Diceros bicornis minor: one gene and its partners. The protein of the gene in region 4 purifies or fractionates together with the protein of the main gene of each other region. This does not show direct contact. Links are inferred from orthologs where the notes say so. Each region holds a gene or a part of one and is shown on either strand. Other genes may lie near its edges. The genes, in order: CCT8, CALU, DICER1 and RAF1.

Region 1 (7,614 bases), on a different chromosome or scaffold from region 4:
TTTTCTCTCTTAAATTATAATGTCACTTTATGTAAAAGAACCGTTCACCATTTGTCACACTGAACATTAAGCACTATCTCAATAATGAAAGCACCATAATTTTTCTATCCTCTTAACAGCATAAAAAGTAACATTTTGATTCCTATTTTTCTAAAGAGATCTGAGTTGCCAATTAAAAACTGGAAACCCTATACTAGTGTCACTGAACTATGAAATAACTTTCAAAGCCACACTGTATTATGGCTAAAACTGTCACTTTATATATAATACCCTCAGAACAAGTTTGAAAGAGCTAGTACACAAAATTCTATTACTGTATCTTTTAAAACATGAATTTATAAATTACCATTTGGTCCATATGCTGTACGAGTTGTCTGGGCAAGCTCCTTGCAAGCCTGTATGTTCCTGTACACAGCCTCTTCTAGTCCTGAAAAATGCTGTAAAAGGAAACTTCTGATTAGACAGGACAGTGAAAACAAGAATTTATTCATCTGTAAAATGGGAGTAATAATAATAGTACCTACCCTCACAGGATTGTTGACTCGATCAAGCAAGAGTTATGTACGTAAAGCATGGTGCTTGGTATTCATAAATGATCCATAAATTTGCTCAATAGTTGAATGAACAAAGCATGACATTTTTAGGAACCACAGGTACCCACTTACACATCAAAATGCAGCGCCTATAATTTTTTTTGATGTAGTGAAAAGTGCAGGGAAGAGTGCTAAGACTGATTAGAGAAAGCATATGAGCTATTTCAGGTAAAAATACCTTTTCAGAGTTTACCAGTACTTTCTGACTAAAACTTGAAATGTGGCATGAATATTTTTCTTATTGTGTTAGAGCCTGAGCACTGTAAAGCCAGCAGTTCTATGTTCATTGGGAATTCCCACTTAACCTATCTGTCTCCAAAATATTTAGGGACTAAAGTATACAGGCTTTTGAACTGCAACAATTCCAACGTGTACATATTGAAAAACTGCTGAATCGCTCATAGTACTAAAATTCTCAAATTTTACACTGAGCTTTTTTTAGAGCTGGGATTTATTTGTGGCCTTAGATAGGTTTCATGAACCTAGTGTTCATGTGAACGTTTTTCTAGAGCTGCTTTGCCCAATACAGTAGCCACTGGCCACACGTGGCTATTCAAATTTCAAGTAATTAAAATTAAAAATTCAGTTCCTCAATTGCACTAGCCACAGTTCAAGTGCCCAGTAGCTACATGTGGCTAGTGGATACCATATTGGTCAGCACAGATACACAACATTTCCATCATCACAGAAAGTTCTATCAGACAGTACTGTTCTAGAGTATAAGGCACGGCTTTTATAACATACATTAAAGGGACTGTGATCCAAACAAGGTTAATAACCACTTTAGAAGCAGTGTCTTCAGCGACAAGAGTTGGACTCTTACAAGAGCACTCAGTGTGATCCCCTGGCTTACACTCCTACATCCCCCACCCCTGAGGAGCAGCCCTCAGGTCATCAACTAGATCCCATCAAACCCTTCTTCAGAAGTTTACCATCCCTCCCAGGATAAAATGTAAATCCTGCCTCAGGGTTACAAGGCCCTACATGTTTGGCCACTGCCTACAGCTTCTCTATATTCTTTTCTTACCATTCTTGCCCTCCCTTGGTGAGCTTCAGGCCCATCACCTTTCTCACTGTTTTCTTTAAAAAGGTCAAACTCATTCCATTTTCAGGGTCTTTGTACTTACTGGTCCCTCAGCCCGGAACACTTCTCCCTTTAATCTTGGCTGGTTCCTTCTGTCACCCAGAAACTGAGCTAAGAACTCTTCCCTGAACATCTTATTTAATTGTTTTATCTACCCTAAACCCTTACCTTTTTTTTGGAGGCAGACTTTCTTATTTCTTGTCATTCTCTACTACAGTACTGTTTGTTTCCTTTATCATTATTTGAAATCATCCTTGTTTATCTGTTCATTTATTATTTCTGCCTCAGAAGAATAAAAACTACGAAGAGTTCTCAGCCTGACTTTTTAAAAAAGTGAGCAACCGATGTCCCTTTCAGCAAACTTGTTCCACCAACATTTACATTAAACCCTGATATTTATTTAGTATACTGTTATCCCAAAGTGCATCCTGCCAACAAAAACCTGGTTCCCTAAAACTTAAGGGGTTGTTAAAAATCGCGCTCTTGAAATTACGTTCGAGATCTGGCCATAAAACAAAGCAGTTTTACTTACTTAGACCAGGGTGTCACTTACCCATGGGTTACACAGGTCAGATGGACAGGTACAACTTAAAGGTACCACCTTTTTGTCCAATCTCAATTTAAAGATGAGGAAAGTAAGACCCTGGGGGGTAAGTCTTACAAGCTACTTAACCTTAAATTGAGACCAAAACTCATTTGGGTTGTAAGTGTCTGTCCTACTACAACGCACTACTTCTGCGAACTAAATAGGGAGCCCCTCTGTTTCTCATTTGGAAGGAAGCTGCCAAGACCTGGCCCTTGTTCCTCTCCTCTCGGATCGCCCCATCCTCGAACTGCGTGTCAACCGGCCCCGCGGCTCCCAAAGCAATTTCACCTCCGTTATCCACCTTCACCCTCACAACACCCTTTAAGGGAGGAGAGCCTCATCAGTTCCGTTTCACGGATGGAGGGAAAACGCACAAGCGGCTTCACGCTTCCCCAGCTAGTCAGTGCAAAACGCGAATCCCGGGGCCTTGCCCCTCACCCGCGGCCTCTGCCTCCTCGATTCCCCCCGGGGTCGCACAAGAACGGAAACGCCCGCAGGCCTCGGGGGCCGAGCCCTCCCGAGAACACCTCCCTTTCTGGAACCTTCTCTTCCTCCGATCTCTGCGCCGGGGGAGCACGCTCGGCCCTTTAGTAGGCCCTGCTCTCTCGCGGCAGCCACCTCCCCCTCCCTTCCTCCATTCCTCACCTTCGCTCCTTCCTTGAGCATCTGGGCAAAGCCCGGGGCCTTGGGGACGTGAAGCGCCATGGCCAGTACGCAGGAGCCCCTCACGCGCTCGCTCGGAGGATCCGGGAGGAAGCGAGGGGCACGCACGGCCTGCTGGGAACGCAGCGTGCCGCGGCCTCACGCTCCGCCTCTCTCTTCAGCTGGGCCCGCCCTTTCCCTCAGCCTCCTGGTCTGAAACCTCGCGAGAAAGAGCAGTTCCCGCAGCCAGGACTGGGTTGACGATCCTCGATCAGGTCGATCGATCGGGCCGACGCAAGCGCAGGCGGCACAGGCCATTGTGGCTGGTTGCCGAGAGTGTCAGCCGTTGAGGCTCCGTGGCCGCGACGTTACGTTTTTGCCATTTCTGACCTAGAAGCCACGCCTCCCTCCTAAATTTAATTTCCAAGTTATTTTCCAAGCCCACTCACAACATCGGGGCAGGTGTTCACTTTTTTCCCGAGACAGGGCGTCTGCCCTCGTCCGGAAAAATCTGTGGCTGGGCGTCTGGTCTGTCTGGGGCTCTGTAGGAAGCGCTGGGGACGGGACGGTAATACTTAAAATCCGTAAGGATAACTACATGCTGAGTTCTCATATGTGCCAGGCTCTGTGTTATTTGCTTTACGTGCAAGACCTAAGCTAATGGTCAGCCTTCCGAGTTAACTACTATTATCTCCATTTGATAGAAGCGGAAACTGAGGTTTACAAATGGTAATTTGTCCAGGATCACAGCGCTAGTAATGTTAAAGCAAGGATTCCTAGCAAGATCAGAATGACTGCAAAATGCACGTTCTTAGTCACTGTGTATATTCCTCTTTCCTGCTTTTTCCTGGAAATATAAATCCCTTTTACTCTCCCCAGATCTTTTAAAACCTGATCTATATGTCTTCGCATGTCAACACGTGGCTGATTTCAAAAAGACTGAATGCTAATAGAGTACTTTTAAGGGTAATTTCACATTATGAAAATAATCCACTTTTCTTGCAGAAAATGCAGAAAACCCAAAGCAGAACGTTTTGGCTTGACTTTTGTTCTTTGACTTGGACAAGTGCAAATTACTTATTTTCTTTAAATTGGGACAGATTTAGTGTGCCATAAAACTGAAAGGGGCTAAAAATGACGCTTGATAAAATTTAATTAATTAAAAATAACTAAGGAATCAAATCTTGATAAGGACCATGGAAAATTAAACTTGAGGACAAACCAATTGATGAATCAAATTTCCATGGAAAGTTCGTGATAAAAAATTGATCCTACATTAATTTTAGTAAAAAGGAAAAGGAAAGGATTGAAATCAATTAAAATCTTCTGTATGATAATTTGTCAAGAAATTAAATTGATTTAATTGCTAAGAAGAATGTTTTTTAGATGAAAATTCGTTAATTTTGTATTATTTGGGTTAAACTGTGCATTCATAATTATAGAATCAAAACATCAAGAGCAAAATTTCCGCTGGATCCAAATAGTTGGTCAAATATTCCTCACCCAGAAAAGAAAAGAAACAATAATCCTGAATGTGGCTTCAAGGCCTAGGTTTTGGTGCCTGGGTAGCTCACATGTATCTTCCTGTCTTCTGGTCACAATAGCCTGAATAGTTCATCCTGTCTTTTACCGCCTCTGCATCAGGGGCTTCACCTCTACTCTTTTCTCTACCTAGAGTGTGCTTTCACCGCCTTTTGGTTGAGTTATATCTGCTTCAGTCAACATAAACTTTTTCCTTAGAAAGTCTTCAGTGACTCCCAAGTCATTCCTTGTTAGTCATTCTCATAACTTCTGTGCTTCTCCTTCATAGCACTTATTGCAGTTGTAATGACAGAATTATTTATATCTTTCTCAACCAGTAGGTAGGTGTTGTATTGCCAGCACCTATCACTGGGCATGGCATGGAGTAGAGTCTCAATAAATAGTTGTCAAGTGAACGAATGGATGACCAAATGGGTATCTAGAAGAGGAGACCAAAGAATCACGAGGTGTGGTCTCTATTTGTCTCATCCAGATGTACGTGCTGTAAAACCAGAGAACGTCACAAAGCAATCAAAAGGGTTGCCTAGGAGTTTGCAGAAGCCCAAGGAGACTGTAGGTTTCGGCTATTTTGATTCAAGAGCCCAGGGCCCTCATGTTAGGTGCCAACTGAAAACATGGCCTCCAGCACCCAGGAGAGAGCTAAGGCCTCGAAGATTGGGAGTGTCTGCCCCCTCAGCTCCCCATTCAGGAGGAACTACACTCTTGGTCTGGAGATGTCTAAGCCAACTCAGGACCCTGATAAGGACTCAGGTTACCATTTGTTTCCTGTGACTTTGTTTCTATTTTTCTCTCTATCTTTTGTTTGCCTAAAATTTTAACCTCTGTACTTCAGAATTATTTTAATATTTTTGCCTTGTATATGTGTTTTAATTTTTTTGGTATTCTTATTTAATTTTACCAACTCCCATCAAATATTTTCTCTTCTGACTTTTCTCCCTCCCCTGCATTTGTATTATTTATTTCATGTTACTATATCATCTTAGTTTTCACTATTTTTCCATCAAAATTTAATTCTTTCCCTTTGGCTTTGGATTTTATGACTCATTTTGTCTTGGCTTATTATTTCACTTCAATTTCTTTTTTTTGTGAAAATCTCTTAATTTTCCTTTATAAATTAAAATTTTTTTTTCTGTTTTAATCAAATTTCTTTGGGCTTAAGGAAACCCCCATTCCCTCTCAGAGTTTGGAAACAATTACCGAAGTGAAATCCGAGTCAGGCAGCTGGGATTCAACGTATCACTGGACTTTGGAGGATATGGCTTAGTGTGAAAGTGTAGACATTCTTGTCCGTGATTGCTGCTTTACACTGAATTGGAGTGGAGGAGCAGAAAAGAAGAAGAGAGACTTTTAAAGGGTTAACTCCATATAATAATTTTTGAAGTCCAGAAAGAAAGGTGGCCCCGTGTCAGTCACCCATTAAACCAGATAACTCCCTCCAATGGAGGGGTAAGGAGTGAAGCGGGAAGCCAGGAGGATTGGGGAAAACCAAAAGAGTATAAAGAAGTACTGTCTCCCAATGTAATTGTTATTTTTGTGTCTTAATTTCCCTGGAAACCTCCCATTCCTAGCCTTTTATCTATGGGGTGAGAGTGAGGTTGGGAGTTAGACTGGGCCTCAGACTGCCATGTTGATCCCAAAACTTCATGTAGTTTCTGTCAAGAACACGTGAGACTGGGCAACGTCAAGGCCAACTCCTGACTGATTTGGCTGGTGAAGATACAGGGAGCCACTTTTAGAATCAGTTTATTACTTACATTGACAGTGAGAGGAAGATTAGCCAAAGGTCCCAGCTCCTTGAGGTCATTGTCCCGCACATCAAAAGAATGACACTGAACTAAGAGGAACTAAGAGATTGTAATGCAAGTGGTGGGGTATCCAGTTGCTGAGGAGTTAACTCTGGACTGTAGCTGATCAGTTATATATTCTACCCATCTCTACTGCAGGGGGCTGGGGCAGGATGATCCACAGCCCATCAGAACACTGGAGATGATGAGAAACTGCCTCATCATCTTCCTATGACAACTTCCTAAGGGGCATAGGGAGGTAAGAGAGAAATTGCCTGGGAGAAGCTCTTCACAGGCCTCCTATCCTCTTGTGTTCCAGGAGGATCACAAGGCATTCTGCCAAGACTCAGATTAGCTCGGGGCAAGCCTCTGCCTGCTTGGTGTGTGTAGAAACATGCAAAGTTGCCATGGCACCTTGGCAGAGCCGTTCCCCTACAGTGCCTTGGCACTGTTTCTCCTTGTGGCTATCCTCAGAGGGCTCACTCTAGTGACGATTCCTTGTTCTCAGTGAGGCCTATCTTGCCATTCCACCATTTGGATGCTTACCCTTCCTGCCCACTCTTCTGAAGTAACACCTTTCCAGCCACATGTTGCAAGAGATCTCACACCCTTTGGTTATCCTCTGTTATTTCCTGACACCTATAGAATATTGGCTTCCTAAAATATCACCAAGATAATATGTTGATGAGACAAAGCTGAGTTTATTCTACTGCAATCAGGGAGAGCACTACTTTGTCAGATTCTTAGTAGCATCTCAGTTGGGGGGTGTGTGTGTGTGCAAAGTTAGGATATTTATGAGTTTTTGAAGTCCAGTTAAGGAAGGTCTTTCAATGTAGGAGCTTGGGAAGTTTGAGTAACGATCATGACATACGATTGATGGGCATAGCAAGGTAAGGATTTTGAGGCAATGGGTTCAAAGAGTCTTGAGGTGTAAACTGTCGTTTGATGCTTTCTATTGAACAGTTGATGGATCTTTCAGGATGCTTCTGGAATGAGCAATACAGTTATTTGCAACTTTTATCTTCCTGGGCCAGTGTTTCCTAGAATAAAGTTATGTTGATGAAGACACTGGAATAGCAAAGTCATGCTAATGTAGACAGCAAGCTGTGTGGGTATAGATGGTTTCAGTTGTCATTCCTGACACTTTTTCTAGGGACAAAGAGGATCCTCTCTAGATGATTGAATCTCCTGTGAGCTCAGCATCTGGAATGGTATCTTGGTCCAGAGAGCCTGTGTTCCAAATACTGGGGTGGTGGAGGCCATGTTCGAATTCAGAAGAGGGAGCTAGATTGATGCTGAACGCATATAGGCAGATGCTGCATTTGCTGATATCCGTCCCTGTGCTGTGACCAAGTCTGTTCTCTATTTTTGGCTGTTTAGCTG
Region 2 (7,728 bases), on a different chromosome or scaffold from region 4:
TGAACCCCTCCGGGAGGTTTTTGTACCCACTACCCCACCAAACCTGACCCCCACATTGCTAAAGCCAATGGCCAACCAGTCCTTACCTCACTGTTAGCAACATGTGACATATGTGATTACTTCTTTCTTCTTGAAACACTTTCTTCACTCGGCTTCTATAACACTGCATTCTCCTGGCTTTCCTCCTCCTTCACTGGCTTTTACTCTCATTTCCTTTGCTGCTTCATTCTCATCAACACCCCTCTACCATCTTTGAACATTAGAAATTTCCAGGGCCGGCACCATGGCTCAGCGATTAAGTGCGCGCGCTCCGCTGCTGGCGGCCCGGGTTCGGATCCCAGGCGCTCACGGACACACTGCTTCTCTGGCCATGCTGAGGCCACGTCCCACATACAGCAACTGGAAGGATGTGCAGCTATGACATACAACTGTCTACTGGGGCTTTGGGGGGGAAATAAATAAATAAATAAATAAAATTTAAAAAAAAAAAAAAAAAAGGAAATTTCCAGGACTCAGTCCTTAGGTCTCTTCTAATCAAAACTCATGGCTTTCACACCACATATACACCAATTACTCCCAAATTTGTATCTCTAGTCCAGACCACTGCAAACTCCACAGATACATATCCAACTGCCTACTTAGCATCTCCATTTGAATGTCTAACAGGCATCTCAACACGTCCAAAAACAATCTCTCAATATTATCTTCCAAAACTTGCTCCCCCCAAAGTCTTCTCCATCCTAATAAATGGCAGCTCCACTTTTCTAGTTGCTCAAAATCTTGGAGTCATCCTTGACTCCTCTTGTTCTCTCCACTCCATTACCAACACACCAGGAAATCCTTTTAAACTACTTTCAAAACATATTCAGAATCTGACACTTCTCACTATTTCCACTGCTACCACCCTGGATCAGGTCATCATTATCATCACCTGGCTTGTTGTAAAGCCTCCTAAGTGGGCTCCCTGTTTCTAACGTTACCCTCTTCAGTCTAATGTGACCCTTTTAAAGGCTTAGCTCATGTCACTTCTTTGCTCAAAATCTTCCAATGGCTTCCCATCTGTATTAGGATAATGCTGGCTCTGTAAGAGATAAACCCAATGTATCAATGGCGTAAAACAACCAATAGAAGTTTATTTCTCACAGAAAGTCCGAAAAGGGTGTGCCTGTTTGGTGAGTGGCTCTTTAACAGGAAACTGGGCTCCCTGCAGGTTGTGACTTTGCCATCTGCACTACACGGCTTCTAGGGTTGCCACAGAAAGAGAAAGAGCTTGGAGAATTACACACAGCAGGTTTGTATGGCCAGTACTGGAAGTAGTGGATATCATTTCTGCCCCTCTTCCTTTGGCCAGAGCTCAGTCACATGGCCACACTGCATGGGAGCCTAGGAAATGTAGTCTAGCTGTGTTCACAGGATGAAGAGGAAACGGTTTGCTAAACAGCCAGTCTCTTCCACACCATCTCACTCATAGTAAAAGCTAAAGTCTTTACAATGGCCTAAAGGTCCTACATGGTGTCCCTCTCCCCTTTGCCCCCATCCCTGCTTCTACTTCTCTGACCTCATGTCCTCTACTCCTCAATTACTCCACTCCAGCCACACTGGCGTCCTGCTGCTCCTCAAACACTCCAAACATGCTTCAGCTCAGGGCCTTTGCCCTTGCCATTCCCTTTTCCTGGAATGTTCTTCACCACCTTCAGATGTTCACTCACACCTCACCTTCTTCATGAGCCCTCTCTGGCCACCTTTCTAAGATTGCAACATCACTCCTGATAGTCCCTACACTCCCTGTCTCCTTTCTTGCCATATTTGATTTCTTAGTACTTATCACCACCTCTCATTCTATACATTTTTCTTTTTTATCTGGTTTTATTTTGGCTACATACCAGAATATAAGCACCACCAGAGAGTGTAGTCCATTTTGTTCACTACCGTATCGCTAGTGCCTAGAACAGTATCTGGCACACAGAAAACAACATATTTGTGGAGTAAATGTTCAGTAGCACCATATGAACAGAGTTGGGATGCCTGAAGGACATTACCCTTTTGAGGTTGACATCATTATACCTGCCACAAACAGTCCTTCAGTGCTTCTCTCAGAGATAGAATCCAGGGCTAGATGGGCCTTGAGTGCAATTGAGGTGACATTTCTTATGTGTGTCACCCCCCAAGTCCTTTCCTCCTCTACCCACCTTCTAACTCTGGAGCTCCCAGGAGGTCTAATCTGCTTTTCTCTCCTCAGAAAGCTCATTTGTTCTCATGGCTCCATCAGCTGCCTCCTGGCCAATGACCCTTCTAAGTATCTCCTCCAGCCTATTGGCTCTTTCTTTTTAGATGTTCTGCCATCACCTTAGATTACTATGTCTTGAACTCAATTCACTATTTCTCTCATATTCCACTCATGTAGTCATTCTCCCAGTTTCCTATGATTAAAACTTTAAATTTTTGAGTGCTGCTCCTTCATTTCTTTCATCCAAGCAGTCAATAAATCCAGGACTTGTTTTCCACTTTTAAAAGTTCTCTTATATATAAGTGTTCATTACCATTTCCCTTTCTCTGCCTAGGCCAGGCTCTTATCCACAGGGAATCTCAGGATTGGAGGGCCCCATCCCTGGCAGAGTCCCGCTACCTCATCCAGCCTCCTTTAGGACACTTCCAAGATGGGTGGCTCTCCCAGTAGGCTACAGTTTTGTAAGGGCAGGGACCATGCCCTCTTCACTGTGGGTTCACCAGCACCTAGCATAGTGCCTGACTTCAAGGAGGTATTTTTAAAAGTTTTTTAAATACCTCCGGATACAGCCTGTTTTATAGTTAATCCTTATTAGGAGGGCCGGCCCCGTGGCTTAGTGGTTAAGTGCGCGCACTCCACTACTGGCGGCCCAGGTTCAGATCCCAGGAGCGCGCTAACGCACTGCTTCTCCGGCCATGCTAAGGCCGCGTCCCACATACAGCCACTAGAAGGATGTGCAACTATGACATACAACTATCTACTGTGGTTTTGGGGAAAAAAAATGGAGGAGGATTGGCAATAGATGTTAGCTCAGAGCCGGTCTTCCTCAGCAAAAAGAGGAGGATTAGCATGGATGTTAGCTCAGGGCTGATCTTCCTCACAAAAAAAAAAAAAAAAAGAAAGCAAAAAAAAATCCTTATTAGGAGATGCGCCTCCCTGAAAGAACCACTTTCATTCCATTCCACCTCCCACATAGGCACAAGCTTAGAAACCTTCCGAAGATGACCCACAGTTCCCACTGCCTTCAGCTCAGGCTCCTCAGATTGTTAAGACCTTCCACTACCTAGAGAAACTTATCATCTATGCTTTCCCTTCATGCCCCCCTCTCTTTTTTATCCCCCTCATCCCCTACCTGGCCTAAGAATTTACCTCCTACTCTGACCCCAACTTGCCCTTGTTCCTGTTATTCCTCTTCTGAATAGTGCATTCAGGACTTCCTTAGTCCTGCCTGAGTCACACCTCCTTAGGAAGCCCTCTCTGGCTACCAGAGAGGTCACTGTCATTCCTTTGTCTGAATTCCCAAAGCATTAGTTGTCAACTTCTGATCTTGGTGCTTAAAAGTTAACTAACTTGCTTTGTATTTAATTCTTTCATGAACATACTACTTGTCTCAACTGGATTTTAAAGTATAGAGGCTTTATGTGCTAAGAACACAGTAGGTTTATATTTCATTTGTGTTGCAAACATAGTAGCCCTCATTTAACATTTGTTTTAATTTCATGACACGAAAATAAGTGAATAATTTCCTGTGTTCCTCTTAAATCAGGGACGTGCAATGGGTTCCACCCATTCAGTTCACTTAACATTATTAAGCATTTACTTTGAGCTGGGCAGCAAGCTCAGACCTGCAGATACAGAGATGAACAAGGTAGATCTCTACCCTGGAGCTTAGTCTGCAGGAGGATAGATGGATAAGCAGTATTTTATAGCAAAATTTGGCAAAGCATACTAAAGATACAAAGTGCTATGAAGGCAAATAAGAGAGAAATTATTATGCCTAGTAGGGTGAGGAAACGCTTCTAGAGATAATATCTGAGCCAGGATTTCTGTGAACTGGGACTTCTATTCGCATTGACAAAGCAGAGATTCAGAAAACGCACTTATTCCAAGCGGAGGAGGCCACTTGATGAAGAGAGGCCATAGATGTGAAAGGGCGGGTGGTTCGGGAACACAGAGATGATGGTGGCCAGAGCGCAAGATATGTGAGGGGGAGTGGTGGGAGACGAAGCCGAAAGATACACTGGAGCCAACGAGTGAAAAGGCTCCTGTAGGCTACCCCATCAGAACAGCAGTGCTGAAGGGAAAGGAGAGGTTGGGGCGACTGATACAGTCGGATTAATTCGGCTCTGGGTGCCTGTGGGCATGAAGATAACCGGCGGGGTAATGCAAGAAGCCCTGTGGAAGCCGAGTCACGCGCTGTGAACCCGGACGTGGCGGCCAGACAGCCGCGCCCACACGCCACCCGAAGTAGGGGGCTGAGGCCCACCAAGCCCGCAGGTCCAGGGACCAGAGCAGGGCGGGAATCCGGTCCGCGCAACTCGGCGCGCTCGCGGGGACGTGGCGCTTTCCAGCCAATCCCAGCTACGCGACTGCGGGACCAATGGCTGTCCGGGGCAGCTATGCGTCAGCGGCCGGTTTGTTGACGATTGGTCGGGAGGCCGCCGGCGAGGCGGAGAGGGGCGGGGCGCGGAGCCGCTTCCGGTTGGGCGGTGCTTGTGCGCGTGAGCTGAGCCGGTGGTTGAGCGGAGGCCGCGGCACGGTAGGCTGTGAGCGCTGTGAGAAAAGGTAAGTGCGGTGGTGCGCGGCCCGTACTCCGCAGCCTCGTCCTTTTTCGCTTTCTTTTTGTCCTGAGGCCTCGCTCCTGACGCGGGATGGGCCTCCTTCTTTCGGTGCCTGTGTTTTTGCTAGCTCGGGGACCCGGGGCCTGAGCCGGCTCGCGACCCCAGGGCCCTCGGCGCGTAGCCTGGGTTGGAGGCCGCCGCTCGCCTTTCCGCTCGCTCTGAGAAGGGGCCCGGGTCTCGCGAACTCGGGCTCCCGGCTTTGCGTCCTGTGGGTGCTGTTTTGTGCCTGGCTTGCTACGTCCTCTGTCCGTGGGCCTCGCCACTCACCGAGTCCGTCCGACTAGGGGGCCACTCTTGTTTGCATCTTGAAGGTCGGAGGGCATCAGGTAGTGTTATTCTAACAGCTCCCTGCCACCTCCCACTCACCGGCCTGCTTGTGTCCTCTGGCCCCACCCCAAGGCCACATCCCCAGGGTAGGGTGCATCTGCCAAGAAAGTCGTGTTCGCTGACTTTGAGGGTGTAGAAACAAGGGGAGACAGAAAGCTTGAAGACACTCTGTGATTTTTTTTTAAAAAACTTGCTGTAATTTTAATAGCCGAGTGTTTCGAGCTTCTATGTTTGGCTGCGTACTTCAATCAGCGATGGAAAATAGTTTTGAAAGCTTTATTAGGAAGGTGTATTTTTACCTTGTTTTGTTGCTTCTAGCCCCAGACCCTCGTTCTGATTTTTGGCATGCTGTGTTCAGAAGTAAACTTAATTCCCTATAGCTGCCCTGATTAAGACTAGAGTAGTGTGGTTTGCAGTTTTGAAAGCTGCTTTTGGGTCTCCTGCTAAAACTTTAGGGCCTTTGATCTCAATTTCTAAGTGTATAAACTCCCAGAATAGTTTCTTTGAAAATTGAATTGCATTCACATCCTGGCATGGACCATGAAGTCAAGGTTAATGAATCGGGAATAAGGTTGCTTCTGATTTTTTTTTATAGCTGGGAGGTAGAGAACCGTGTAATCTCTGATAAGTTATTCTTTGCTTTGCCGTAGAATGGAACTTGACACAAGACAAATGGGTTTGAACTCATTCAGTAAATTTAGTTAACCAAGTACTAAACAATGGCCCTCACTGAAGAGTTTACGTAGTACAGTACAAATGAGGGTCTAGAGATAACCTGTAAATTGTGTTTATGTGTAGAGAGGACGAATTTGCCCAGGCCTAATCTGAGTTTTACAGTCATTCAGGGATCTGCAATAGGATTTTTTTGAGAATCAAAACCGGGAGAACCATGAGCTGGCAAAGATGAATTGAGTACGCCTGAGTGGATAGTACTCAGATACAGCTCTGAAATCAACTCATCATCCCTCTCAGTATAATCATTGTTTGCTCCCATTCGTCCAGTGATGTATCAAAAGGTTCTTATTGATGACATTTTATATATATGTTGCACCAGTATAGGAGATCAGTACATTGATATTAACACAGACTTTCTGTAACCTGGGTGTGCCAGAAATGTTGGAAGGACACAGGTATAGCCAGGGATAGCTATTAGAGATGCTTGCTAGGCCATAAGGTCCTCGATTCTCTCTATGAACTCTTAAATATAGATGTTGATGTTGTAATTTATGTATTAGAGTTAAGACAGCTGAAATAACACTTTGCCTTTTGCTGGCTGATGGCCAGATCCGGTAAGGGGAATTGGGGGTTGGGGAGCACAGACAGGCAGGAACTACATTGCTGCCAAGTGCCCTCCAACTAATCCAGTGAAATGTATTGGTATATAAAAAGTACAAGACGCTGTATTAGGGCCTGTAGAGGGATATTAATTTATATTAGCTGAGATCCCTGCCTTCCAAAAATGTAGCATCCATAGGGGAGTCGCCTATAGGAGACAACTTAAAGTAGCCTATGGTCATTATTGTGGAGTGGTACAAGTTTTATAAAAGTTTAGGGGAATGGGTACAGATCACTTCCTCCTGGAGTGGTCATAGTACATAGGTCTTTTCATCTAGGATTGTAAAATTATTTATAGACATTTGGCACTGAAGGGAGGTTGAACTAAAATAACTACCAAATTCTCAAGGACTTTATGCATGTTACACATGCACAGCAAAATTACAACTAGAAACCAAAGTTCTCGTCCCTACATGTTGCATAGCATTTCTATGGCAATTATGTATTAAAGTTTCATCAGCCAAAAGGAAACTTTTTTCTCCCAAAATTTCTAGAACTTTTTTTTTTAAAGAAAATTTTCCACTCTGTAGCCAGAAAAATTAAAGTTTGTACTGAATTGTTTTGGTTATAGAACCAGTGAAGCCTAAGGAATAGTTTGTCCTTCTCAAAGCTTTTCTTCTACAGCCAAATGTTGCACCTTTATATTCTCAGCTGTCTTAAAAATCTATGCCTTCAGTCACACAAATAATTTAATTGGAATGTATTAATGAACTAATGTAAATTTGCTCCATAATTAAAGAAACATTGAATAAATGGTTTGTCATTGTCATAACTTTTATCAAATCGTGAAGGATGACATTATTACTTTAATGTGATAATCCATTAGTGGTACTTGTGCTAAAGTTTGTAAGAGAAGAATATCAGATAGCTTTGATTTGTAGATTTTGTAACCTGGACCTTAGTATGTATAGTTAAATTGCTTTCAGGCTGTTCCCTCCAATCCACAATTGCAGTAGACCCTTAAGCAGTGAGGTCCTACTTTTGCTGCATTATAGAGGAATGCCTTTCTTTGCTGAATATCCAGCTCAGAGAACTGGAATTTTACCACCACACCCATTTCTCCCACTTGTTAACATTGAGCAATGGGTCTTTGCTCAACCAGAATAACTGTGGGATCACTCAATGCTAATGTTCTTGAAAAGTTAAATCTAATCCAGACATCTAAATTTCTCTGAAATAATTGATTTTAAGTGTTCTGTGACCAAAGGATTTTTACCA
Region 3 (7,565 bases), on a different chromosome or scaffold from region 4:
ATTCCTTGTCCAACTTCTACCCACTAGATTTAGCAAATATTGCTATTTCTTGTCTGACGATTGCCAAATGGTGACTTTCTAATTCCATTATTCCTTCTAAATTTATTAGTTACAGTCTACTCTAAGGAAGAGCTGTCTCTTTTCCCCATTTATTTATTCATTTTTAAAAAACATCAGTCTGGACTCATGGATTCTATTTTATTCCAATGGAATATAATCTCTTACTATCATATTTTATTTTGATGCTCAAATTTCCCAGATTTGGCCAGTGGGAGCCCCTTCAAGCTGACTGCTTTGTCCTTTTGAAATGTCTCTATCGTTCTTTGAGCATTTTCATACTTTCTGGCACAATAAGATGTTCCAGGCTCCTGTATATGATACTTCTACGTTTATATTTATTTTTATATCTATATATATTGAAAACTTTGAATTCACATCAATACTTCTAATTCCAATCCAATCTCTCAAGCCTTCTTGCTTTTCCCTGTTCTGTATTTGTAGCCCCTTCTCCAACAGTGAGAACTCTGGCTTCCATTATCTTCCATATAGTTTTTTCTTTGTGTAGTCCCCCTGTAGATGGCCACCTACCTTTGCAGGACAGCCGCCCCACCTTCCTTGTTGGGGCTCTGACTCCACACGGGGCTGACTTCCTAGCTGAACATGAGGGTGGCTATATTCTCCTATGTAGATGAAAAAGCAGAATCAGTCAGTAGAGGGAGATACACAGATGAAGCAGAATCACAAAAAAGAATCACAGAAGGACAGAGAGAGCAACTTTTAAGTTCCCGGAAGCTTTCCAATTCTTGGTTCCAGTTATTTGCTAAGATGTACCTGTATTCCCGCTCCTGGCTTTTGTGAGAAGCTCCTACATCCTTATGACAAACTCTTCCCTTTTGGTTAAGCTACTTCATGATGGTTTCTGTTACTTGCAAACAGAGAGTCTTAAACAAGGTATATTTATATCCTGGAATGTGCTACAAAAAATAAAACAAATTGTAGAAATAATCATGGCAAAGGGAAAATAAAAATTAGCACACAGAAAATGCATACCACATGGTACTGTACTGTTGCTTAACATGAGCTGAAATATTAGCTCCAAGATTTCTAGTGATCCATACAAAGTGTGAAATGTTATCCTTTACAAGATTTTATGTCTCCAGATTTAAAACAAACCAGCAACTGGAGCATGGATAGACCATTGGAACAAAATACAGGGCCTAGAAGTGAACTCTTCAACAATGGCCAATAAATGGCAAACTGTGTAGCCATCCAGAAAAAAAATTAATTTGGATCCATACCTCACCCCATATATTGAATCATTTCCAAATGGATCAGTGTTTTATTGCAAAAGACTGGAAGTCTAAATCTCCATCAATAGAGAATTCGTTAAATAAATTATAGCACATCTCTGTAATAAAATGTTATGGGGATTGGGGGGCTGGCCCCGTGGCTTAGCAGTTAAGTGTGCACGCTCCGCTACTGGCGGCCCGGGTTCGGATCCCGGGCGCGCATCGATGCACCGCTTCTCCAGCCATGCTGAGGCAGCGCCCCACATACAGCAACTAGAAGAATGTGCAACTATGACATACAACTATCTATTGGGGCTTTGGGGAAAAAAAAGGAGGAGGATTGGCAATAGATGTTAGCTCAGAGCCGGTCTTCCTCAGCAAAAAGAGGAGGATTGGCATGGAATGTTAGCTCAGGCCTGATCTTCCTCACACACACACACACACAAAATGTTATGGGGATTGAATAAAATAGCAAGGAGCTCTGTATATATTGCTGTAGACATATCTTTTTGATATATTAAGTAAAAAAAGCAAGGTATAGTATACGTGTATGGCACACTATCACTTTTGTAAATGAGGAACGTCTTGGCTTGTATATGCATAAAAAAGTTCTCTAGAAGAAGGAGCAAGAAACAATGGTTACCGTTTGAGGCATGGGGACAGGTATGGGGGAGATATTCTTTTTACTGTATACCTTTTTATGCTTTCTGATGGATACACCATATGTATGTACTACTTAATTTTTTTATTGAGGTAACATACGTTTATGACATTATATAATTTCAGGTGTACATCATTATATTTCGACTTCTGTATAGACTACATCGTGTTCACCACCAAATGTCTAGTTGCCATCTGTCACCATACAAATGTGCCCCTTTACCCCTTTTGCCCTCCCCTCACCCCCCTTCCCCTCTGGTGACCACCAATCCATTCTCTTTATCTATATGTTTGTCTGTCTGTTGTTTTTTCATCTGCCACATATGAGTGAAATCATATGGCATTTGGCTTTCTCCATCTCACTTATTTCACTTTGCATAATACCCTCCAGGTCCATCCATGTTGTTTGAAATGGCAAGATTTCATCTTTCTTTATGGCCAAATAGTATTCCATTGTGTATGTATACCACATCAACTTTATCTATTCATCTGTCAATGGGCACTTAGGTTGTTTCCAAGTCTTGGCTATTGCAAATAATGCTGCAATGAACATAGGGGTGCATACATCTTTTCAAATTAGTGTTTTTGTGTTCACTGGATAAATACCTAGAAGTGGAATAGCTGGATCATATTGTAGCTCTATTTTTAATTTTTTGAGGAATCTGCTGTTTTCCATAGTGGCTGCACCAGTTTACATTCCCACCAGCAGTCTATGAGGGTTCCCTTTTTTCCACATCCTCTCCAACACTTGTTATTTCTTGTCTTCTAGCCATTCTGATGGGCATGAGGTGATACCTCACTGTGGTTTTGATTTGCATTTCCCTAATAATTAGTGATGTTGAACATCTTTTCATTCGCCTGTTGGCCATCTGTATATCTTCTTTGGAGAATCTCTGTTCAGATCCTCTGCCCATGTTTTAATCGAGTTGTTGTACCACTTATTTCAAAAATTAAAAAAATTGATGAAAATCAGACAAACCTGCTGATGGAGAAACCCAGCTGATCTTGACAGACTGAGGCAACAGCAGGAGGGGATGCAAGTTTTACCTGCCCACAAATTTCCACTGCTAGTGGACCGTGGTGCCTACCCCCGCCTTGAGATGCCATCCTTCTCATAAAGGATTATCTCCCAAAAGCCTTTACGCATATGACTGGGGAGGTCTACTGCCCACAGTGCTTGACATACAAGAAACATTATTTTTACGGAGGTCTGCCAAGAGCATTCTGACTACTTCCTAATTTTGCCCATGAACATTCTATGTTTAGGTGAAACTTCTATCTGACCAATTTACAGTAAATATATGATTAAAATTTGATCACCGCAGTGACTGAATACATCAGCCCTGAAGCCAGACTACCCGGGTTCAAATCTCAGTTATTCACTTAGTAGCTGCTTACCTGATGGAGGTTATTAATTTTCTTCATCTGTTAAAACAGGGGGCAATCACAGCACCTACCTCACAGGCTCCACATAAAGATCACAGGCTTACACTACCCTGGTCAATTCACGCTAGCCACCTAAGACATTAAAATTTTTCTATTACTCACATTAAAAAAAATGAAACTAGATTTATCCCAATATATCAAAAACATCACTTCCACATGTAATCAATATAAGAAGTTATTTGTGAGATGTTTTACATTCTCTTTTGGTAAAGAACACATACATCTGAGCTCCAACTAGCACGTCTCAATTAGCACTACCCATATTTTTAGTGCTCAGTAGGCACACGGGGCTAGTAACCACTGTATGGAACCGCGCAAACCCAGACAGTCTGGGGAGTAGGTGCCAAGAGCTAACTCTTACTAGCAGAAGTATGGTTGCTGGTACCATCCCTCCTCTGCAGTAAACCAGTGTATCACTGAGTCCTCTGGCAGAGCTGCCTACACTTTGGGATAAACTAACAGGACTTTCTTTAAGCTAGTCACCTAATTGACCTCCAGGTTTTAATTCACAGCTACAAGGTATGGTACACGGTTGCGACCCCAGCAAATGAACGACTTACATAACCGGGGCCGCTGTCCCCATCTCGTTTTCTGGTTATCCCTGTTCCGGGGTGGGAGTGGGGTGGGGTTTGTCGTCTCCCCAATTGCGGAGGGCCCTGCACCACTAACGCGGGGGACGAGCAGGCAAGCGGGAAGGTCTTGACAAAGTGAAGGGGGGAGTGGCAAAAGGGGCGCGCAGCCCTCGGGAGAACAATCACCGCCGGGGGGCAGGGCCACGTTTAGGGGGCGGTGGGTGCCAGACGGGCAACAATGGAGGCGGGCGAATGCAGAGAGCCAGGAAGTTCTGCCAGCCTGCGAGCGTCCGCCGCCTCAGCGCGCGGGGCCCGGGGGCTGCAGAGGCGGCGGGCGGTGGGCGGCCGGCTCCAGTCCCGGCGCTGGGCCGCAAACGCCGCCTGGGCCTCCGCCGCCCGCGTCCGCTGTCTCCCGGCTCCTGAGTGGCTGGGGGGCCGGGGTTAACCTTTCACCGCCGCGCCGCGTCCAATCACAGGCCCGCTCTCATGCCGGCGCGGGCGAGCGGAGCGTGGGGGCGCGGCGGGGCGGCGCGGGCGCCGGTGGGATTCTCCAAGCGGCGGTGCGCCGTTGCCGCGGGCCGTGCGCGGGCTGCGGGCGAGCCGGGCGCTGCGCAGTCTCCGCAGGCGCCAGCGGGAGGGGTCGCGGCGCGGCGCAGGCGGCTCCAGGCCCAGGTGAATGGAGTAACCTGACAGCGGGGACGCGGCGACGGCGAGCGGGAGGAAATGGCGGCGGCGGCGGCGGCGCCGGGCGGCACCGGGAGGCCTGGGCTGTGACGCGCGCGCCGGAGCGGGGTCCGATGGTTCTCGAAGGCCCGCGGCGCCCCGTGCTGCAGGTGAGGCGGGCTCCCGCGGAGCCGCTTTGTGTCGGGGCGGGGAGCGGCGCCGCCCGGCCCCGCGCCCGCCTCCACGCCGAGGCCCGCATGGGCGCGCTGGGCCCGCGCTCCGGCCTGGCCCGCGGGGGACACCGGCGCGGGCCGATGCGCGGCCTCGCCTGGTCCCGGGCGGCGCGGCCTGCGGGGTCGGGGCCCCCGCCGGGCTCTGCGCCTCCCCGACCGCGGCGGCCCTCTGGGTGGGCGCTGTGGAGGGACCCCGTGCGCTCGCCCGGGCAGCGGGTGGGCACGCGGACTGGAGCCTGTCCTCCCCGCTCGCCCGCAGCCCGTGGAGAGCGGGGCTCTGACGGGTCGGGTGGCGCACCGAGAGGTGCGGAGTGCGCAGCGGCACCTGGAGCATCCTCGGGCCCTGCCCTGCTGGGGGCCGCTCCGCTGGGCCTCCGCGGACCCCTTGGAGAGGGCTGGGAGGGAAGGAAGCCGGGCTGTCGGTGCTGGCAGGAAAGCGCGAGCTTCGGGGCCCGCCCGCGGAGGATTGTTCGTGTTTATTGGCAGGTGACCAGATCTGGGTCCCACGGGGCGGGTGGCCGAGGCCATCTTTCCGCCCCTCCCCTCCGATGTTTTTGTACCCAAACGCCTGGACCCTGCCCAAGGAGCCTTTCTTAAGGATTTTTAATCTTTAGGAAATCAGTGTATGTTTTAAGTTAGACCGTGAGATTTCTGTAGATTGTCTAGAAAAGCTGAGCTGCCCCGATGGCTTTGCCCGCAGCACGGAGCTAACAAACCACTTAATGCATCTTTAATAGCCTGAAGATTTGCAAAAACAGATGAGTGGGGACTCCTGGCTCTATGGTGTTCGGTCAGTGCTTTTGTGGGGAAGTCGTGCTTAAAGGGACACGTTACTGACCCACAAGATAAGTCTAAGCGTTCTTAGACTTTCACGGTTTAAAAACATTCATCTTATTCAAGAGTGTTACTTTGAAGTCTGTGTCTTTGAGATGCTTCTGTCTTTGGATTTTCTGAATCTTGACGGTTTTGATTTTCAGTTGTCTTCGTGTCGCTTGTTTTTCAAGTACAGCGCACTCAGTGAAGGGAAAACGGCAGAAGTTAGGAGTTAAGAAACTTGGAAAGTATTTTTTAAAAAAATGCTTTAATAAAAGGTTAAGTTGAAAATGTGTTGGTGTAAACATTAAGTTTTCTAAATAAAAATACCCATCTTAACCAAGAGCTCCAATAATTTATTGAAGGATGGATGATGGTACAGGATTCTGAATGAGGCTGCTAGTAAGTTGTAATTTTAGTATCACTAATATCTTTGGAACTAGCTAGGTTCTAGAATAATCTGTTTATTTTGCAGAGTGTCTTTATTTTGCAGAGTGTCTTTAAAGCTAGCTAGCTACCTGTGGCACGTGTATATTATGTGTCATATGTGCTGTATATACACACACACACATAATTGTTTTGAAACTTTATTTTAGGCCATATTTTATAAAACTGTCTATAGATTAGAAATACTAAAAGGTTGCTTTTAATAGGGTCGCTGTAAACATTTAAATTGGTAATTTTGGTTCATGGATTAATTCATGGCATCAAAATGCTGTTTTAAGTAAAGATGTATTAGTTGAATTTAATTTGGGGAGAAAAGACCGTCTTTTCCTGCAGTTATTTTAGTAAGGGCTTGTTTTACTTTTTATGCTCTCATCTCATCACTGAAGGTTCAGTTGTCTGCTGTGCTAGGTCTGAGGCCCCGTGTGTGAGTTGTATAACGAGGCGGTTTTGCCGTTGCTGAGTTTTGTTGTCTTGGCTTTGGAAGGCTTTTATTTTGATGTGGTTCATGATTCTTGTTAGATGGTGATGTTGTGGTGTTACATGGTGGGTTGTACTTTTAGAGTAGTGCTGCCTTCTAGGAAGGATGACTTTTATGGCACTGAGATATTTATTCCCGGCCACTGTCTGACACAGGAGATGCTTGTTTTGTTTGAGAAAGTAGGTTTTTCATAGACATTCTCTCACTTGTGACCTTAGCTTCCTGTGGTCATCACTGTGGCAAAGGAGAGAATGATAACGTTTATAAGTGCCTGCTTATTATGTGCCAGGATGTTTCAGGTGCCTCTATATCCGTTCTCATTTAATCTTCATGGTGACCCTGAGACAAACTCAACACTGTCCTTATTGTACACGCAAGGAAACTAGGACTCGGAGATAGTTGCCCCAAGTTATGGTTCTAGAAGTGGCAGAGCCAGGATTGAATCATGGTTTGATTTCAGAGTCCTTGTGTTGTATTGCATTGCTATTCCAAGTGGATTTTAGGGGAAAACCTGCATAACACATAGGTCAGACCTTAGCTAATACTTGTTGAATAAGTGAAACTGTCTACCCTTAAATGTTCAGGGGACCTCTGATTATCTGAATAAGTCAGATTTTTTTTTTGGTGGTCAAATATACATAACAAAATTTACTGTTCTAACCCTTTTTAAGTGTACAGTTTGTGGCACTAAGTACATTCACATTGTTTTGCAACCATCACCACCATCCATCTCCAGATCTTTTTCATCTTCCTCAGCTGAAGCTCTATTCATTAAACACTAACTCCCCATTCCACCCTCCTCCCAGCCCCAGGTAACCACTCTTCTGACTTCTGTCTCTATGAATCTGACTACTCTTGGAACCTCATATGAGTGGAATCATACAGTATTTGTCCTTTTGTGACTGGCTTGTTTCACTTAGCATAGCATCTTCAGGATTCATTCATGTTGTAGCATGTGTCAGAA
Region 4 (7,708 bases):
ATCAGATTAAAGAGCTTCTACAAGACAAATAAAACCAGAATCAAGATGAATAGACAACCCACCAGCTGGGAGAAAATATTTGCAAAACATATATCTGACAAGGGGTTAATCTCCATAATAGATAAAGAACTCACACAACTGAACAACAAAAAAACAAACAATCCAATCAAAAAATGGGCAGAGGGGGCCGGCCCCATGGCTTAGCGGTTAAGTGCTCACGCTCCGCTACTGGCGGCCAGGGTTCGCATCCCAGGCGCGCACCGACGCATCGCTTGTCCGGCCATGCTGAGGCCGTGTCCCACATACAGCAACTAAAAGGATGTGCTACTATGACATACAACTGTCTACTGGGGCTTTGGGGAGAAAAATGGAAAAAAAAAAAAAAGGGAGGAGGATTGGCAATAGATGTTAGCTCAGGGCTGGTCTTCCTCAGCAAAAAGAGGAGGATTAGCATGGATGTTAGCTCAGGGCTGATCTTCCTCACAAAAATAAATAAATAAATGGGCAGAGGAAATGAACAGACACTTCTCCAAAGAAGATATACAGATGGCCAATAGGCACATGAAAAGATGGTCAACATCACTAATCATCAGGGAAATGCAAATCAAAACCACACTAAGATATCACCTCACGCCCGTCAGAATGGCTATAATCACCAAGACAAAAAACAACAGATGTTGGAGAGGCTGTGGAGAAACAGGAACCCTCATACACAGCTGGTGGGAATGCAAACTGGTGCAGCCTCTATGGAAAACGGTATGGAGATTTCTCAAAAAATTAAAAATAGAAATACCCTATGATCCAGCTATCCCACTACTGGGAATCTATCCAACGAACCCGAAATCAACAATCCAAAGAGGCTTATGCACCCCTATGTTCCTTGCAGCATTATTCACTATAGCCAAGAAGTGGAAGCAACCCAAGTGTCCCTCAACTGATGAATGGATAAAGAAGATGTGGTATATATATACAATGGAATACTACTCAGCCATAAAAAAAGACAAAATCGTCCCATTTGCAACAACATGGATGGACCTGGAGGGTATTACATTAAGTGAAAAAGGCCAGAAAGAGAAAGACAAACACTGTATGATCTCACTCATATGTGGAATTTAAACCAACACACGGACAGAAAAACTGTATTGTGGTTACCAGGGGCAATGGGGGTAGGAGGTGGGCACAAGGGGTGAAGGGCGACATATATACGGTGATGGACAAACAAAAATGTACAGCCCAAAATTTCACAATGTTAAAAACTATTAAAACATCAATAAAAAAAATGTTCTTAACTGGGTTTAACAAAGTAAATCTTTTCAATTACTATCAGCTTCAACATCATCAAGAGAAGGGGGAAATTAATTATCAGCATGAAAAAAGAATTAGCAACATTCATTTAAAATAATCCAAATTAAATCAACTAGTTCACTATCGTCGACAAAGATTCTTCACGATCTAGTCAACTTTTCCTTTAGACCCTCATCTCTCACCACTTCCTCCCTGCACCCCGGATTATTTGCTGCTCCTCAAACTCATCCCAACTCCTGCACATCTCTATGCCTTTGTACCAGCTGTTCCCTCAGCTTAGAATGCTCTCCCCTCCTCCTCACCTGGAGAGTAATTACTCATCACTCCAAAACTCAGCACAAAAGTCCCCTCCAGTGGACAAGCTTCCTCAACTCCCCCAGGCAAAGCCAGTTCCAAGTTCCCACAACCTTATCCTTATCACAGAGCATTGTTTTCACGCCTCGGAAGAGAATGGAGAGCAGACTCCCTCCACTCAGCCCACAGAGGACAAGGCAGGCAGAAATACTCAATGAACGTGCGCTGAATTCATTCCCTACCTAGATTAAGTAATCCTCGAGAACCCAGTCACATCCCAAGGAAACACGGGAGATCCTATCATTCTTCCCACCAAAGAATGAATACCAGAGGGCACACGCAGAGCCCTGGAAAGAGAACAATGAATGAACACAACAGCTTCGCCTCTCACGATGTCCAAACTCTTCTCGGGGCATCGACCGGCTCTGCAGAGCGTCTGCAGCTGCAGAACTGAAGCGTCCTGGTGGCTCTCACTTCACACAAAAGACAGCCCTGGATCGTCATTCCAAAGCATCCCGGGGCCACTCGTCAGTAAAAGCATCCCAAACCTTTCATTAGTAACCCACAGAGGCCTGAAACCCCAGGCGAGGCCCCTATGCCTTTGTGGTGGGGCACTGTACCCATTTCCTCTTCTCGTGCCCGACTCCTCTCGTCTTTCCTAAAAGGGTGTCACTTGAGTGACGGACACCGAGAGAAGATGCAAGCCCGGGTTCCCCACTCCGCGGCCAGAAAGAAAAGGAATTAGCCCATCTGAGTGACAACACAGAAACGGGGCAGCTCCAGGGGGATTTTCGCATTGTCAAATATGAGGAACGTGCACCGGGTACAGGGGTGGCGCTGGCACGTTTCCCCGAAGCACAAGGAAATCTGAGTGGGGATGTGGGAACTCCGCTCGCCGGCCATGACACCGGGCCCCGAGCCCCCGTCCGCCCAGCGCCACCTGGGGTGACAGCGGCCTGGCCCGGGCCCGGCGCCCGGCAGCCGCGGGGCTGCTCCGTCAGCGCCGCCCGGGAACCAACCCCTCAGCCCCGCCGCCCGGCTCCCCCGGCATCCAGAGCCCGGCCCTGGCGCCTACCTGAGGGAGCCGGGCCGCCTCCGTGTCCCGTCGTCCGGCTGCGGCGTCTGGTCCGCTCCTCCTCCCCGCGGCGGGTGAGGGAGCGGGAGGCGGTCACATTCGGCGCGTCCCCAGCCCAGGGGACGGGGCCCCAGGCAGCCCTCGCATCGTTGCACTCGGGCTCCGCACCTCAGGGCACACGCCCCAAGCCCAGCCAGCTGGCCCTCTTCGGGGCCCAAGAAGAGCGGCAGGGGAGCCTCCCCGTCTCACTCTCGCTCTCCTCTTACTCCCGCCATCTAAGATGGCGGCCCAGCGCCCGCGAAGAAGAGACTCTCCAGCGGCCCAGGCAAACGAGCCCTCCACTCGGTGCTCCTCCTCCCGACCTGCGGCGCCACTGGCTCTTTGCTTCTGCGCGAGCCCGCCTGGCAACCGACTTCAAACTTGGCTCGGGCATCCATCGCTCTGGCCTGAACTCAAGCCCCGCCTCGCGTGGAAAGGCGTGGCCTCGCGAGGTTGCCGGCCGCCATTTTGGAGTTGTGGAGGCTGCAGGGCGGGTGCTGACTGGCTCCCGGACAGGCGGTGGGGAATCGAGAGAAGGTTGGCTTTTAGCCACCCGGAAGGGGCTTGAGGCCTCAAGGGGGAACGAAGGCCAGCCTGCCCGCATCAAGGCCTAGGGATAACCAGACATACGCGAGGAGGCACAGCATAGAGAACAGTGTCCAGCTTTGGCGCGTCCTCTCCGGAGTCGGACACGCTCCGCTACTTACCGGTTATGTAGGAAAGTGTCTAAACTTTACTGAGCCTCAGTTTCCTCATCTGTAAATTGGGGGTTCCTTTTCCCCCATCAGATTGGCAAAAAGTTAAAAAGACTGGTAATATCAAGTCTGGTGCTAGGTATATGAAAACCTGTTGTGTACGGTCATTCAGCGCTGGCAGGAATGGATATCGGGAGGGCAATTTGGCGTTATCTGTTGACATTTTTAATGTATATACCCTTCCGTCCAGCAATTCCACTTGTAGGCACTAATTCTAGGTAAATGTGTACACATACCCACAATAAGACGTGCTGAGGTGTTTATTGCCATATTATTTGCATTAGAGATACACTGCGAAAAATGCGGATTAAGTAGGAAACTGGGTAAATAAACGGTGCTACCTCCACAATAGAGGATATCATCTGTTAAAAAGAATGAGCTAGATCTTTGTACTGATGTTTAAACATCCAAGACATTAAATTTTTTTAAAAAGTAGAACATGTTGGGGCCGGCCCGGTGGCGCAAGCGGTTAAGTGTACGGGCTCTGCTGCGACGGCCCGGGGTTCGCCGGTTCGGATCCCGGGCGCACACTGACGTACCGCTTGTCAGGCCATGCTGTGGCGGCGTCCCATATAAAGTGGAGGAAGATGGGCACGGATGTTAGCCCAGGGCCAGTCTTCCTCAGCAAAAAAAGAGGAGGATTGGCAGATGTTAGCACAGGGCTGATCTCCTCACAAAAAAAAACAAAAAACAAAAAAGTAGAACATGTACAGTATGATTTTATTTACTTGAACACAGGCATGCAAGATTACCCAATACCGTGGGCACCATTCTTTCGTTTAAATTTTCGAGAGCCTATTATGTACCACACATTGTTCTGTGTATTGGGAAATCAATAATCATCAAAAGCCCTGCCTTCTAGTGATGAGAGACCGAAAGACAGCATAAATAATAAATTCAGGTAGTAATATGAGCAGTATAAAGAAAAATGAAGATGAAGCAAGATAAGATGACAGGGGCATGTAGACCAACATGAAGATAAATTCAGGGGAAAGACTGGAAGACATTGAATATGGAGGGACCATGAGGGGATTTTCTTTTTAATAGGAATAATAACAATAACACCTACCTCACAGGATTAAATGAGAGAAAACATGGAAAGCACTTAGCACAGAGCCTGGGAATTGAGACTTGAGTACCTGGAGCCTGACTGCGTAGGTTCAAATTCGGACTCGGTCACTTCCTCCTCTGCCACTTAGACAAGTCATTTAACACTCAGTTCCTCATCTGTAATGAAAACCGGATAGTTACCCACCTCTTAGAGTTGTAAGGATTTGGTGAGTTTAAGATGTAAAGCACTTGGAACAGTGCCTCTCATATTAAACATTATAGAAGTGTTAGCTGTAATTATTATAGCTGTCTCTTATCATATCATTACTACTTAGGGCAGAGCAGCAAAGCCACACTTGCTGACCCCCAGGCCACTCCTTCCTTCAGTCGCCCCCAGCTGGTATTTGCCCAGCACTTCACAGCTTAGAAAGCTTAAGGAGGGGCTGCCCTGTGGCTTAGCGGTTAAGTGCATGCGCTCTGCTACTGGCGGCCCGGGTTCAGATCCCGGGTGCGCACCGACGCACTGCTTGTCCCGCTGAGGCGGAGTCCCCCATACAGCAACTAGAAGGATGTGCAACTATGACATACAACTATCTACTGGGGCTTTGGGGAGAAAAAGGGAAAAAAGAAGGAGGATTGGCAGTGGATGTTAGCTCAGGCTGATCTTCCTCAGCAAAAAAAGAGGAAGATTGGCATAGATGTTAGCTCAGGGCTGATCTTCCTCACAAAAAAAAAAAAATGTTGCATAAAAAAAAAGAAAGCTTAAGGAGTCTGTGCCTTATTCAAACCTCAGCTCACCAGTACGAGTGACTAATTCATTTTTTCAAAATAATTTATTGAGGCAAAATTCACATAACATGAAATTGAGGCAAAATTCACATAACATGAAATTAACCATTTTAAAGTGATCAATTCAGTAGCATTTAGCATGTTCACAATGTTGTGGAACCACCACCTCTGGTTCCAAAACATTTCCATCACTCCAAAGTAAAATCCGTTACCCATTAAGCAGTTTCTCTGCATCCAATCCCCACCCAGCCCCTGGCAACCACCAATATGTGTTCTATCACTATGGATTTATCTCTTCTGGATATTTCGTATAAATGGAATCACGCGATATGTGACCTTTTGTGTCTGGCTTCTTTCACTTAACAAATGTTTTCAAGGTTCATCCATGTGATTGCATGTATTAGTACTTCATTCCTTGTTATGGCTGAATATATAAGTATATACCACAATTTGTTTATTCACTTGTGGATGGACATTTGGGCTGCTTCCATCTTTTGGCTATTATCCGTAGTGCTGCTATGAGCATGCAGGTACATGTACTAGTTTGAGTACCTATTTTCAGTTATTTCAGGCATATACCCAGGAGTGGAATTGCAGGAATCATCTTGTACTCCACTGGGTTGCATGTCCTGTACTTTGGAGACCTCTGGTTTGGTGGTAGGCTCTCCTACTCGTAAGAGCTAGAGTTATTAGGGAAGGTCTCAGAAGAGGAACAGGGAAAAGAAATGATCAGAAATGGCTTGAAGGGACAATGGACATGCCATGATCTCAGATCAAACAGAGGAGGGGAAGAATGGGAGGTGTCATTGGTAGAGGGAGGGGATGGGGGAGGCTAACGTGGAAACTTTCCTGGGTGTTAGAATGTGCTACTTCTTAATTTGGGAAGTGGTTACATGGGTATGTGTATGGCTATATATATACGCACACACATATATATGTAAAAATTGGTGTGTGTACTTTTCTGCACATTTGTTATATCTCAAAAAATTATTTTGAAACATGGACCATAGGTCTTTAAGCCAGGCCAAAAAAGGTACGTGTTTCAGATGAAGGAAAGAAGAACTGCACAAAAAATACCTGTCATTTATGAAGGCTCTTCATGTAATCAGGCATTTTACACAATCTCCAATACACAATCATCACGACTTGAAAGTCCTGATCTTCAAATGGGGAACCTTTAAGAGAGGGTAATTAATCTAAGGACAAAGCTGGGAAGTGGTGGAGCAGGGATCTGGACCTGTTTGTTTGTTCATTCCTTATTCAGTTGATGAAGATTTCTGTTGTGCTGAATATGTGCCAGGCCCTGTGTTAGCCCTGGGCCCGTAGCCGTGACCAAGCCCAAGTGTCTGCCCTCAAGGACTTTAAGGTCTAGCAGGGGAGACAAACAGCAAACAAGTAAACCAATACATCAACATGAAAATTAGGATTGTGGTAAATCAGTGCAGAAAAGGACTAGAGAATGATAGACTGGGAAGGGAAGGGGTGCGCCTTTAGACTCAGTAGCCAAGGCCTCTCTGAGGAGGTGATAGTTAAGCTGGGCACTGAAGGATGAGAAAGAGCCAGGAGAAGAGCATTCTAGGCAGTTGGAACAGACATTTTCTCCTTGATAGACCCAACCCCTCCTCTCTCTGCACAGAGGAGTAGGCATGGGCTCTGAAGTCAGACAAATAGGAGATCAAACCCCCGCCCTGCCCTCACCGCTGTGATTCTTGGCCTCTCCCTCAGGTGATGTAGGAGCAGGAATATTTGCCTTCAGGGGTTGTTGGGAGGAAATGAAACGGGAAAGTACAGGCCCTGGCATGCAATAGGTGCTCAGGGAGCTGCTCCTCACCCTCTCCCTCTCCAGCACCTCTCCCAGACTTACTGCTTTCTGCCCTAAAAGGGCAAGTCAGCCAGGTCTTGAAGAAGAAAATCACCAGCACATTCAAATGTCCCTTTCCCTCTTCCAGTTACCCCCCTAATTTTTTGTTCTCTTTTGGGGCCAAATTTATCCCAAAATGGTCTAGACCCAGGCTCGATTTTCTCACCCATCCCTCCACTAAGCCCCAGCAGTCTGCCTTCTGCAGCCACCGCCAGAATGCTTCTCCTTCTCACCAAAACGTCCCTCCAGGAGGGCTTCCCAAGCTTGGCCTCAGTGTCCTTTATGACATTTGGTCAAGGGCATCCCCGTCCAGTGGAAGTCCTGCCTCTGCGGTTCTCTCCTGTTTCACTGGCCTGACTCCTCCTGTCCCAGGAACCACGCCTGTTCTCCTCTCAGGCCTACCTGGCAAAGCAGCTCATGCTATTCTCTCTGCTGGAAATGCTCTTCCCTACTTTCAGTCCCAGCTCAAGGGCCACACCTGCATGGAGCCTCCTCTGGCAGCTGCGACCTGCAGTGTTCTGCCCTTTCTCTGAATTTTCG

Evidence for each region.
Region 1: the proteins of RAF1 (region 4) and CCT8 purify together in Homo sapiens (affinity purification with mass spectrometry; 4 studies listed by BioGRID and IntAct, with this or other methods). This does not show direct contact. The link is inferred for Diceros bicornis minor from reciprocal best matches to the Homo sapiens genes RAF1 and CCT8.
Region 2: the proteins of RAF1 (region 4) and CALU purify together in Homo sapiens (affinity purification with mass spectrometry; 3 studies listed by BioGRID and IntAct, with this or other methods). This does not show direct contact. The link is inferred for Diceros bicornis minor from reciprocal best matches to the Homo sapiens genes RAF1 and CALU.
Region 3: the proteins of RAF1 (region 4) and DICER1 purify together in Homo sapiens (affinity purification with mass spectrometry; 3 studies listed by BioGRID and IntAct, with this or other methods). This does not show direct contact. The link is inferred for Diceros bicornis minor from reciprocal best matches to the Homo sapiens genes RAF1 and DICER1.

Annotation. Positions count from the first base shown.
Region 1 is NC_080766.1:29,950,539-29,958,152, forward strand, and holds the start of CCT8 (T-complex protein 1 subunit theta), read right to left. Parts: upstream 3,015-7,614; 5' UTR 2,969-3,014; coding exon 2,909-2,968; intron 438-2,908; coding exon 347-437; intron 1-346. UniProt on the Homo sapiens protein: Component of the chaperonin-containing T-complex (TRiC), a molecular chaperone complex that assists the folding of actin, tubulin and other proteins upon ATP hydrolysis.
Region 2 is NC_080742.1:77,500,601-77,508,328, forward strand, and holds the start of CALU (calumenin), read left to right. Parts: upstream 1-4,766; 5' UTR 4,767-4,792; intron 4,793-4,915; coding exon of another isoform or gene 4,916-4,969; intron 4,970-7,728. Other genes in the region: GARIN1B (Golgi-associated RAB2 interactor protein 1B), read left to right, coding at 4,479-4,766, 4,916-4,969. UniProt on the Homo sapiens protein: Involved in regulation of vitamin K-dependent carboxylation of multiple N-terminal glutamate residues. Seems to inhibit gamma-carboxylase GGCX. Binds 7 calcium ions with a low affinity.
Region 3 is NC_080763.1:40,757,326-40,764,890, reverse strand, and holds the start of DICER1 (endoribonuclease Dicer), read left to right. Parts: upstream 1-4,555; 5' UTR 4,556-4,800; intron 4,801-7,565. UniProt on the Homo sapiens protein: Double-stranded RNA (dsRNA) endoribonuclease playing a central role in short dsRNA-mediated post-transcriptional gene silencing.
Region 4 is NC_080741.1:85,205,967-85,213,674, forward strand, and holds the start of RAF1 (RAF proto-oncogene serine/threonine-protein kinase), read right to left. Parts: upstream 3,008-7,708; 5' UTR 2,675-3,007; intron 1,947-2,674; 5' UTR 1,842-1,946; intron 1-1,841. UniProt on the Homo sapiens protein: Serine/threonine-protein kinase that acts as a regulatory link between the membrane-associated Ras GTPases and the MAPK/ERK cascade, and this critical regulatory link functions as a switch determining cell fate decisions including proliferation, differentiation, apoptosis, survival and oncogenic transformation.